Coturnix japonica: one gene and its partners. The protein of the gene in region 2 interacts with the protein of the main gene of each other region in a biochemical or structural test. Links are inferred from orthologs where the notes say so. Each region holds a gene or a part of one and is shown on either strand. Other genes may lie near its edges. The genes, in order: LRRK1, FLT4 and VEGFD.

Region 1 (4,182 bases), on a different chromosome or scaffold from region 2:
CCCATTACCGTTCTGTGGCTCCATGTTGCTCTCTCTGGAAACAGCGGATTCCTCCGTCCCCACGCACCAGTACATTCTGGGTCTGAGTGGTGAGGATCCAACAGAGCAAACTTTCTGCAGCGCCTCCAACTGAGCGTGGTCAAAGCTGAACGTCAGCTAAATGCAGGGCAGAGCGGCCGCTACCAAATGCCGTCCTGATGGAGCATCGTTTACCCTGATTGGAAATCAACAGCAAAACAAATTAAATCATTCCGGTATTGATATTGCAAGCAGTGCATCCCCATGCACTCCAACACGGCTGAGAACATGCTGCTTTGAAGAAATACACTACACAAATATGAACGCAACGATTTTCATAATAGCTTCGTTAAGAGCGTAGCATGAATTAAGATGGGAAACAAACAACATCTCCTCTGCTGCTCCCAGTTTTCCTCCACCAAAGCAGCTGTGTCTGGGTGGAGGATATATGGGGTGGGCAAAGGGTCACAGTTGCAGCCCCACATTCCCCACAAGCCCTGTGAAGGCAGAGGGCTGAAACAATGAGACGCAGCTGGAAAAATCCTAAAGGCAACCTCAGAACCTTTCCCACCCACAATGACTGCAGCTCTGGTGTGAGAAGCTGGAAAACGCTGATGTCGACACTGAGAATCCTCTATAGAAAGAAGAGGGCTCAGAGAGACACAACAGCTTCCCTGCCCTCTTCTTTTAGTGAAGTCCAGTGCTCTCAAAACAGCTTCTTGAAGTGCATCCTGCATGCAAACCAAGCTTAGGAGCTCTCATGCTGGCTGCATATGGCTCAGGTGCCTTCCAGGGCATTTCTACCTTCTCACCTCTTCCAGTCTACACGCCTGTAACATTTTCTCCCTTTTTTTTTTCCCCCACACAAAACCCCTTTTCTTTATCCATAGAGATTAAAGGCTGACTTTGCAGTCGGTGCCCAGCTGACACCAGCGCTCCTTCATTTTCTGCTTTCAGTTTCAGTCTGCAAACGCATCTCAGATTCAACACAGCAACCTTTCTCACCTATTAGATCCCTATTAGATTTTCTCACGTCTGCTGTGCAGTGCCGAGGTTTGGACCAGAAGCTCTGACTGAACAAAATACACGACGCACCTCCTGGTTTGGTAAGCAGGGCCCAGGTGTGTGAGTGGCTTCCTGAGCTGGGGATGGGGTCACTGATCCACCACCACCACCCTAAAGCTGCCCGCTCCTTCCTCACTGCACACACAGCACTTTAACCACAAACCAAGTGTTAAAAAAAAGACCTCACTGAATGCTTCATCAGCTGTTTCCAGGCAAGGGTTTGAGTTTTAGGTGCACTTATGGCAAAACTCGGCTTCTGCTGATCCCTATTTTATGGTGCCTGGCAGTGGGATGCACAGCTCAGAGCTGGGCAATGGGCGAAGCCACATACTGCAGTTTGGTGCTTGGGAGCTTCTCAAAGATGGGAAAATTGATTTGGGTGATCACAAGAAAAGAGGGAAGGGCTGCATGGAGGCACCTGCACACCCACCCCACAGCTGAACCATTTTACAGCCCTAACTCCAAATGGACACAGGTGTGCAGACACAGCCCTGCATCACGGCCTCCATTCATCAGAATGCAGCCCCAGCACCTGGAAGGGGCTGAGTAAGGAAACTTTCACTTGGGGGTGTGAATATATGCTCTTCATATACAGCAAAAGGAAAAGCAATAGCACAATTTCAATCACTAGTTCCCTTTAGCTGCAGCTATGGCAGCGAGTGTTGAGCTGTCAGTGCGCCGCTGTATTTCCGTATTTCAGGGCCTCTGTGTCTATTAAAAACACCCCCACAGCGCTTCTACCTTAACCAAGACGTGCCCAGCTGTAACACGTGCAAATACCGCGTGTGGATTTGATGTAAGGAGAGAGAACGGTGCCGTGTGGGTCCACTGAGCTCCGCAAGAGCACGAGAGCACACAGCCGGGGGAGGGCTGCAATGCCATCACATGTATTCCCAGCCTCTCTCCTGGGACGCCGTCACCGCGTTTTGCTACGGTGCAGCCCCACGGGAAAAGCACGACGGAAAGGGAGAAGCGAAGGCGCTTCGTGCGTCCAACTGAGCAGGAAACGGGACCATCGATCCCAGCCAGCTCCCGTCTGCCGCCCCCCCCTCCGAGCACACGCAGCGCCCGCCGCCCCCTCTCGCTCCGCAACTTCGCTCCCAACTTTCTTTCTGAAGCTCGTTCCCCGCTTCTCTCCGCATTTTAAGTCCCCTCCCCCCCCCCATCCCCACCGCTTCCACCCGCCCCGCAGCCGGGGTTGCGCTGTGCCACGGGCAGCTGTTACCTCCTGCGTCCCGGGGCTGCCGGCTCTCCGGGGCCACCTCCTCCTCCTTCGCCCGCCTGGCTGTGCGGCGGGGGAGGCGGAGGGAGGAAGAAAGGAAAAGGAGCGGGGCAGCCGCGCGGCGCCTCCTCCACCACCGGCCCCGGCTGGGCCCGCCCGGGAGCCGCGGTCAGGGCGCGGTCGGAGCCGCGTCTCGCCTGGAACCCCGGCGGCTGCTCGGGGCGGTCCGGTCGGCAGCGCCTCTCAGCGCCCTTCCCCGCCGTGGGGCGCAGAGGGGACCGCGGGGCTGCCCCTGTGCCGGGCTCGTTCCCCACGTCCATCATTCGGTGTCCGCCCTCTCCCTCGGTTCGCCCTACTCGTGCTTACACCGCTTTAGTTTTGCGCGTTCTTATTCGGCAAACATTGGACGGCACAAGGGCCGCACCGCCATCTCTCAGCCGCGCGGGTGCTTCGCTGCTCGGATCCGTGCCCTGAAGCCCGGCCCAAGCCGAGCTCTGTTTTCTGAAGGCTGCTCCTTCCCCGGATCCCGGAGCTGCTCCTCCGGATAAACACAGCAGCATCGCCCCCTGCCTCCCGTCGGGCCGCAACCAACACGAGCGGTGCGCGCATCCCTGCCCACCGCAGCGCCCTGTACCGATATACGGCTGTATCATCCCCACCCCACGGACCTTGTGAAGGGAACGCGTTTCGGCGTGACTTATGTTATCCATAACGCTCCCTTCAACGACACAGGTCGTTCCCTGGACTTAAATCAAGAGATGGGGCTCTTGAGGATGGAAAAAGCCACACCCGTAGCTGCTGCTGCCTGAGGTTTGTTCTGCAGCGCTTTTCTCGCTGTGATTACGGAGTCACAGAGAAGCTGGATCCTCACAGGTGCTTTAAAGGGTGTTCAGACGGCCGTTAATCTGCATCTGGCTGCAGCCACCTGTTGGACACACTCTGCACTTTCTATCGCGTCTGCTGCCTTTTATGCCTCACGCTCTGGTTCTTAGACAGGCCCTTCTTATACTTTTCTTTTTGGCACCATTGTTTGGAATAAGAATAAAATCTCAGATCACAGTTTGTTTTGAGAGAGGCCACAATTTCCCTTAGCACGAATTTCTTCATCTTTTTTTTTTTCCTTTTCCAAATCTCATCCTGCTCTTCCTCCTGACTTTACTCATAACTCCATTGCTTACATCACTCTGTCCCTCTGTATCTCCGTGCTTCTCCCTTCTCACATTCGGCTGCAGAGCTCCCGAGTGATGCTGCTGCAGAGTGGAAAATGGATGGGATTTGGCTGTGTGTGTGTAGGGAGGTGGTGGCTGTTTGTATCTCTTCTCACCTGGTTTAGTGGTTGGTGACCCTGCCTGTGGCAGAGGGGTTGGAACTACATGATCTTTAAGGTCCTGTTCTACCCAGGCCATTCTATGCAAAGAGCGTTAAAAACGGTGCTATGTTCTTGCTCTGTCTCCTCTGCAGATAAAGGAGATAAGACAGGAATGTCTCATCATGGGGCAGTCATACAACAGTGGCTGTGTCTAAGAGGGTTTCACGAAGCCCCGTCTGGCAGCATGTTCTGCATGAAGCCTTAACCCCTTCCAGTGTGCAGGCAATAGAAGTTTCCCATTCCCATTCCTTCCTTGGAGCCACATCGATATGCAGCACACAGAAACTATTTCACAAAGTTCAACATTTATTAGGAACTATGACAAAAAAGATACCCATAGTCTAAAATATATACAAGAAGTTTAAACATAGCATTTTCATGTACCCTTGGCTATAAAAATACATTAGATTAACTGTATCCTAATTTATAAATATAGTTTTGTTGGTTTTTTGTGTTTGTTTTTTTTTCCTTTTTAATATAAAGTAGTATTTGATGAAAGCCTTACTGT
Region 2 (3,647 bases):
TGAAGTAGTAAAAGCCAGGATGGTTTTGTGAGTCTGATTTCCACTTATGGATAAATGGTGTGCTAGCAGGTCATCTGAGCCCATGGAGCAGTCATCTCGCAGCACAGGGCTGTCTGCCAGATAGCAGCACCAAACCTACTTTTCCCTTTTGCCCTTCCTAACATCTGCTGCTCTCTTTCCCCACCAGACAGTCAGCAAGTTGGCCATCCAGGAGGCCAATGTCTCAGCCATGTACAAATGTATTGCCTCTAACAAAGTGGGTCGAGATGAGCGGCTGATCTACTTCTATGTGACAAGTAAGTACTGGGGACATCCCCTCTGCCAGCGTCACCTGGGCTCTTTGCCTGAACCTAGCAGCCCCTAGATTTGCCAGGTGCCATCATTCGCACTTAGTGCCTTAAACAGTGACCAGGAAGCCATCAGGAAAGCAGGGTTGCCCTAGATTTCTGCTGAGTGACAAAAGCTTGGAGTTCTGGCAGCAAATCGTGCAGACAGACCTGAAGATAAGCTGGTGTGTCTGTGGAAGGTCCTGCTGGCCCAGGCAGCGTGCTGGGCTGGGGACGTGTCTGGTCCAAGAGCATCCTCTAGTGGCACCGCCAGCCCTGCTCCCAGGCAGGGTCCTGGCCCCAGCCCTTGGCATGGCCCCTGCTGGATTTTGGTGGTGGGAGAAAGCCAGGTTTGTAGAAGCCAAAGCCCGGCAGGGTGAGCTGAGAACAACCACTTTCAGACCTCCTAGACTTGTTCCACTTGTGACCCATCTTAATTTGACTCCGAGGCTTCAGCACAGCCCTTAGCATCAGCTCAGCTGCAGCTGTCAGTTGCTCGCAGCCTGCATGTTAAAGGCTCCAGGGTGGTTTCCATTTACCCCTGGCTGAGGACAGTGAGTTCTCAGAGAGCTGAGCCCAAGGAGTCAATTTAATTGTATCCAGCAGCTAAGCCAAGAAAACTCATCCACGTGTTCATTTCCTTCCCAAAAGCCATTCCAGATGGATTTGAGATCGAATCCCAGCCCTCAGAAGAGCCCATAGAGGGGCAGGACCTACAGCTGAGCTGCAATGCGGACAACTACACCTACGAGAATCTGCAGTGGTATCGCCTGAACCTTTCCAAGCTCCACGATGAGGAGGGCAACCCCCTGGTTCTGGACTGCAAGAACGTCCACCACTACGCAACCAAGATGCAGGGCGAGCTGCGCTTTCAGCCCGACTCCAATGATGCCACCTTGCTGCTGACCATCCCCAACATCTCCCTGGGCGAGGAGGGAGACTACGTGTGTGAGGTGCAGAACAGGAAGACCCGGGAGAAACACTGCCACAAGAAATACATCTCTGTGCAGGGTGAGGGTCAGCAGGGCAGGTGGGAGTGACTTGCTGCTGGTACTCTTGCTGCAGTCAGCTTCCCAGTCCATTCCTGGGGGAAGCCATGCAAGCTAAACTCGAGGTGGCAAAGGCACCTGGGTCCCAAGACACCCTCCAATAATGGGTTATAGACACAAAGTCCCCCACGAATGCAGATATTCTTTTGATCAATCCGTTTTGTGCTGCTCCTCCAGCCCTGGAGATCCCCCGCCTCAAGCAGAACCTGACAGACATTTGGGTGAACGTCAGCGATTCCATAGAGATGCGTTGTAAGGTGGATGGCAACCACGTTCCTGACATCAGCTGGTACAAAGATGAGAAACTGGTGGAAGAAGTGTCAGGTACATTGGGCTGGGGATGGAACAAAGGCAAGGTACCATGTCTGGTGAAAAGAGAGCTGAATCCTGTTTTTAATCATGTTCTGCCCTGGTTTGATGTGCTCTCAGTGGACAAGTCTGTGCCCTAGGGTCTGGATCAACGTTGTGTGCACATGTACATTCAGGTGGGCAGCAAAGAGAGCTGAATCCTTTTTCTTCTTGCACTCAGCTCAGTGCCGGGCATCTCTGCTAATGCAGGGATTGACTCAGATCCCATGGAAGGAATGTGGGAAGGATCTAGGCATATGGCAGAGGGAAAGGAATAGGTCCTGGAGGCAGAGCAGAGCTTGGTACACCAGCTGGAGCACCCAGGCACTGTTCCCAGTCCAACCTTGTCTGTCGGGTTTTGTTCCATACACTGCCTAAGGAAGGCCCTTCCAGTGTAGTTCTGGAGCCATAAGCCACAGAGGAGAGCTGGTGCAATTTAATTCTGCCATCTAAAATGAAGTGGCCAAAAAATAGAAGCCTTATTTTTTGCCTGAACGAGTTAAATCCCCTTTCCTTATTGAATGACCTCCATAACCTTCCTTGCCTTACAGGAATTGATCTGGCAGACTTCAACCAGAGGCTGAGCATTCAGAGAGTGAGGGAGGAGGATGCTGGGCTCTACCTGTGCAGCGTCTGCAACGCTAAGGGCTGCGTGAACTCCTCAGCTAGCGTCTCTGTAGAAGGTACCAGCAGACACAACACACCCTAGGGATGAGAGCATCCAAGTAGGGGTGTGTCAGAGGTCCCGTGCCTCTTCCCTGTGATGCCAGGCTGCAGGGTGGCAGGGAAAGCACTGAGAGCATCTGTAGTCCAGAGCATAATTTGATTGGAGCATGTCAACACACAGCTCCTTGGTCTCCCCACATCATGGAGCAGATCCCAAGAAACAGCCAAGCCTTTTCTCAAACTGCACTTTTCCCCCCACCCCACAGGCTCTGATGACAAGACCAACGTGGAGATTGTCATCCTGATTGGGACTGGGGTCATCGCTGTTTTCTTCTGGATCCTCCTTATCCTCATCTTCTGTAACATCAAAAGGGTACGTGGTTGTCTTCATTCTGGGGAAGAAGAGGGGGCTCAGATGGGCTTGGGGCAGCCCCATTGCTGTGGTGTGGGGCTATGTGACAGTGTCTGCTGAAAGAAGGTCGCTGAGTAGTGCTCCAAGCACCCTGACTGTCAACCAAGGATGGGGCACGTAGTAAAGATGGGGACATGGAACAGCCTTTGCCAGGGGAAAGCGGGTTGAAGGAGGCAAAGGAGGCATCTTCTCATGCACTGTGTTGGGTGATTCCTGCAGCCTGCCCATGCAGACATCAAGACCGGCTACCTGTCCATCATCATGGATCCTGACGAAGTGCCCTTAGATGAGCACTGCGAGCGCCTGCCCTATGATGCCAGCAAGTGGGAATTCCCACGAGACCGCCTGCGCCTGGGTGAGCTGAACCCCATCCCTGCCCCCACGTGCTGCATGCAGAGCTTCCCACCAGCCCCTGGAACTCACCCTCCAGATTTCTTACACAATCAGGGCAAAACAGCCCAATTCATAGGAGATATCCTGAGTTCAGGACTGGGATAGGATGTCCTCGTGCTGTGACATCCATCTGCAATCTCTTCCCTCTGTCTGGGAGAGGTGTAAGGGCTGCAGACCTCCTCTGAGACACAGAGCAGTGACATTAGCCCTGTCTGTTCTGCTGCAAGGTGTCTTATTTACCTTTTCCACTTGTTCTGTTTGAGGGCAACAAACAGCCTCTCACCACATTAGGACCATTTCCTTCCTCCACTTTGTCCATGCCAGCTCTCAGTTCCTCCCTTCATCCTTTCTCTTATTCTCACCTCTAAAGCAAGCAGCCACCTGGGAAGGGCAAATATTGCACTCCTTCCTTTTCCTTTATGACTCTTTTTCTTTCTTCTTTCCATGTTTTCC
Region 3 (3,647 bases), on a different chromosome or scaffold from region 2:
CATAAAAGAAGAGCAAAGAATTTATTCCGAGTTAACTGCTTAGGGATTTTTAGGTCAGTGGAAGGTAATTATGCAAAAAATGAACTTGGCCAGAATGTACAAGTTAACATCTGTATCATTGCAAAATAAATGCCACAGATGTTTTAATAATGAATAACAGATGTGATTAGTGCCTAGGTTTTAAATCTCATCTAAAAATCTTCCTCTTGTAGGTAATTCTTCCCCTTACCTTTTCTCCAGCCTTATGCAGAAAACTAACTGGCTACTGGTTGGGACTGCAGGCTGCTGCCTACCTCATCACCAGCTTCTGTCTTTCGGCTTTGCCTTTAAGACATGGTGCATTATTTATGAGAGCTGGCAGAGCAGCCCTTAATTTGCAAGTCAAAAAGTACAGTCAACTGCATGAACAGAGAGCACAACTGAGAGCACCAGCCCAGTGCAATGCAGTCATGCACAATGATAACCTTTTGCTTGGGTTGAAGGCAATAGTTTTCTGCAGACTCAGTGAGTCATTGGAAATAAATACAAACTGTCTTAGTAAAGGCATAAACACAAATGCTGGAAGGCAGCAGTCAAATAATCAAGCACTGCTGTGGAGTGCTGTGCATTGTTTACCTTAAAAAGGTAAAGATTAACGACTTTAAACTAATGGAGTAGGCCTCTGTAAGGAATCTTCTACCATGGGACTAAAGAATGGTCATATACATCAAGAAGGCAGAAAATGAGTGACTGAGGTAACAGTGCTGCACAGCCAAACATGGAGACTGGAACTGAGGCCACCTTGTCTGCCCTGCATGGTAGGGTGGGAAATGAAATAGGTACCTTGCACTTTGCAGTTTGTTGAATGTTGTGTTTGCCCACCAGGTGGACAGGCCCTTCTACTCCGGGCAGCTTCTGGCTCTATCAACTTCTCTTGCAGTGATGTTTCCTGATAGACACCCATTTTGGCACCTGAGGTGACTTCAGGTGCCATCAGAAACCGGTAGCTGTTGTTCCAGCTTTTCTTAGCTGCTCTCAGCAATGTGCTGCCTCTTGCGTAAGAGCATCCAGAAGCTCTGTAAAGGTTCTGGATTTTTGATTTCCTCCTTTCCTTCCAGAGGACATCTCTGTCAGCATTGGAGCGGTCAGAGCAGCAGATCAGGAGAGCATCCAGCCTGGAAGAGCTCCTTCGAATAACTCATGCTGAGGACTGGAAGCTGTGGAAATGCAGGCTAAAACTCAAAAGCCTGGCCAATTTAGACTCCCGCTCTGCATCACATCGCTCCACCAGATTTGCTGCTGCTTTCTATGATATCGATACACTGAAAGGTAAGTGCAGGATTGCATTTGAGTCTAGCTCCAGCTTCAGGACCGCTGTATCTTATGCAGTAATGGGTTAAGTACCAGGGGTTTCCTAGAAGACACCTGCACTGGAAACAGCAGGATATTAATGGAAAATGACATTGTATGAAAAAATGTCAGGCAATGGCCTGAGTACATCTCCCTTTTTATGGCCAAATCAGGCTTATTGTACTGTATATTGTCCAAAGAAGAGTTCTGTTATGTATGGATCAATCAGTCCAAGGACAGACAGGAAATAAACATGCAAAGAGTGGTCTGGACTGATGGGCTGAGGGGCTTGCCAGCAGCACTGTGCCAGATCCAGGAATTTACTTGCAGTCAGAAACAAATGAGCTTTAAACAGGCATTGAAATTCCATTTATAATGAAGTGCACTCTGATCTAAGGCACTGCATCGGTACTAGTGTCTGGGTGGAAACTGGAGGGAGGAGCTATTGTCCTAATACTCTTACTCTGTTTGAGGAAATCTCCCTGGAGATAAGAAGTAGGCTTTGAAACTGCCAGTCAGTACCTAAGTCCAGGGAATCACAATCTTTTCCCTCTCTTGAAGCAAAAATGAATGCTGTTCCCTGTAAGTGAGAGAGAAGAAGGCCGTTATATGATCATTGATGTAAAATAAAGGATCAATTGCTCTGCTTCTGTCAAGGAGGTGGATATCCTACAGCAAAGCTACTCTGTAGCCTGGCCAAGTACTGACAAAGCTATTTTTTCTTTCAGTTTTGAATCTGAAGCTATATGACCATATCACTTTCCTTTGGGGAAATCAGATATTGCTGATTCTGTTCCAACATCACTATTGCAATAACCACAGCTATATTTGCACACCATTAGTGTCACTTTCATATCTATTACTTCTACATTTCAGTTAATTTATGGCAAAGCAAAGGCCTTAATTTGCTTCTCTAAGACATGGGACAGAAATACAGAGATGAATGCCAGTCTGAACATGGCTTTCATATGACAGGCATGGCTTTAAACTTCTAATAGAACATTTGTATTGAAAATAAAATAAAATAAAAATACACACATACACAAAAACAAAACAAAAGAGACCCTGCAACAGAAGAAAACAACATCCAATATACAAAGGAAGAACAGTTAAGAGGGCTTTAACTATTGACACGCTTTTCATTTTAACACCTTTACAAGTCTGTACATAAACATTAGGAACCGATGTTGTCAGAAGTAGTACCAATGGTCAAACACAATTTTTCTCTATTCACTGTTGCTCATTTAGTGAGCATCGGTATTTCTGGAGAAAAAAGAAAAAAATAATAATCCTTTTGTCAATACAGTGAAAAAACAAAGGATGTCGTAATAGGCTTTCTTCAGTGGCAGAATAATATAACTGTTTAGGTAATGTCAGACGCCTGTAGGCGTACAGATATAACTCTTTTATAACAACGTGGCACAGCTGTTAGGTCACTTCCTACTTTCTTTTTAAAGATCTAACTTTAGACACAGAGATGTCAGCCTATTGGGTCATCTTCTCCATTCCTTCATCCAAAGTGGAATTACTCCAGAACAGAAACGTCTTTGTTCTAATATCTTAATACATTCAAGGTACTAAAGCTCCTTACAAAAACAGAAAAAAAGCCCAAGAAAACAAAGCAAAGCCTACAAACTCGTAAACGTATATTTCTTTCCCATGCTCTTTCCAGTCAGTAAGCACTGACCCCCTTTGCCAAGGGCATCTGTTTTGTTTTAGTAAAGTGTTATGATGAGATGTCTGGGTCTAGGCTATTCACTGCTTCACTATTAGACCATCTCCCACAGCATCCCAGACTCCAGCCAGGGTGGAAGAGGTCAAAGCACAAGAAAAACTTCCTTCAGTATGTCTGCAGCAAAAAATAGGTTAGGGAAAATGTGGACCTGCTGCTGAAATGAGGTAGGAGCCCTGGTAATGAAGGACACTGAGAATGCCAGGTTATTGAACACCTTCTTTGTTTTGGTCTTTACTGCTAAGACAGGATTCTTGGGGATCCCAGACCTGGGAGATTAGAGAGAGCCTAGGGAAAGGAAGACTTCCTCTTGGTCAAGGAGGATCTGCTCAGGGGTCATTTAGGCAACCTTGATGGACACGAATTCATGGGCCTCAATGGAATGCACTCATGAGAGCTGAGGGAGCTGGCAGAAGTGATTGCCAAGCTGCTCTCTATCATCTTTGAAAGGTCATGGAGAATGGGAGAGAACTGGAGGAGAGCCTGTGACACTGCAGTCTTCAGAAAGGGCAAGGAGGAGGATCTGGTAAACTGCAGGGCAGTCAGTTCACCTCTGGCCCTGGAAGGTGATGGAAAAGCTTATTCT

What was found.
Region 1: the proteins of FLT4 (region 2) and LRRK1 form a complex in vitro, tested with the Homo sapiens proteins (2 studies listed by BioGRID and IntAct, with this or other methods). The link is inferred for Coturnix japonica from reciprocal best matches to the Homo sapiens genes FLT4 and LRRK1.
Region 3: the proteins of FLT4 (region 2) and VEGFD form a complex in vitro, tested with the Homo sapiens proteins (2 studies listed by BioGRID). The link is inferred for Coturnix japonica from reciprocal best matches to the Homo sapiens genes FLT4 and VEGFD.

Annotation. Positions count from the first base shown.
Region 1 is NC_029525.1:15,837,353-15,841,534, reverse strand, and holds the start of LRRK1 (leucine-rich repeat serine/threonine-protein kinase 1), read right to left. Parts: upstream 2,817-4,182; 5' UTR 2,672-2,816; intron 2,490-2,671; exon of another isoform or gene 2,309-2,489; intron 215-2,308; 5' UTR 76-214; coding exon 9-75; intron 1-8.
Region 2 is NC_029528.1:4,697,142-4,700,788, reverse strand, and holds part of FLT4 (vascular endothelial growth factor receptor 3), read left to right. Parts: intron 1-187; coding exon 188-296; intron 297-977; coding exon 978-1,337; intron 1,338-1,552; coding exon 1,553-1,699; intron 1,700-2,274; coding exon 2,275-2,406; intron 2,407-2,655; coding exon 2,656-2,762; intron 2,763-3,020; coding exon 3,021-3,156; intron 3,157-3,647. UniProt on the Homo sapiens protein: Tyrosine-protein kinase that acts as a cell-surface receptor for VEGFC and VEGFD, and plays an essential role in adult lymphangiogenesis and in the development of the vascular network and the cardiovascular system during embryonic development.
Region 3 is NC_029516.1:109,964,617-109,968,263, forward strand, and holds part of VEGFD (vascular endothelial growth factor D), read left to right. Parts: intron 1-1,097; coding exon 1,098-1,308; intron 1,309-3,647. UniProt on the Homo sapiens protein: Growth factor active in angiogenesis, lymphangiogenesis and endothelial cell growth, stimulating their proliferation and migration and also has effects on the permeability of blood vessels.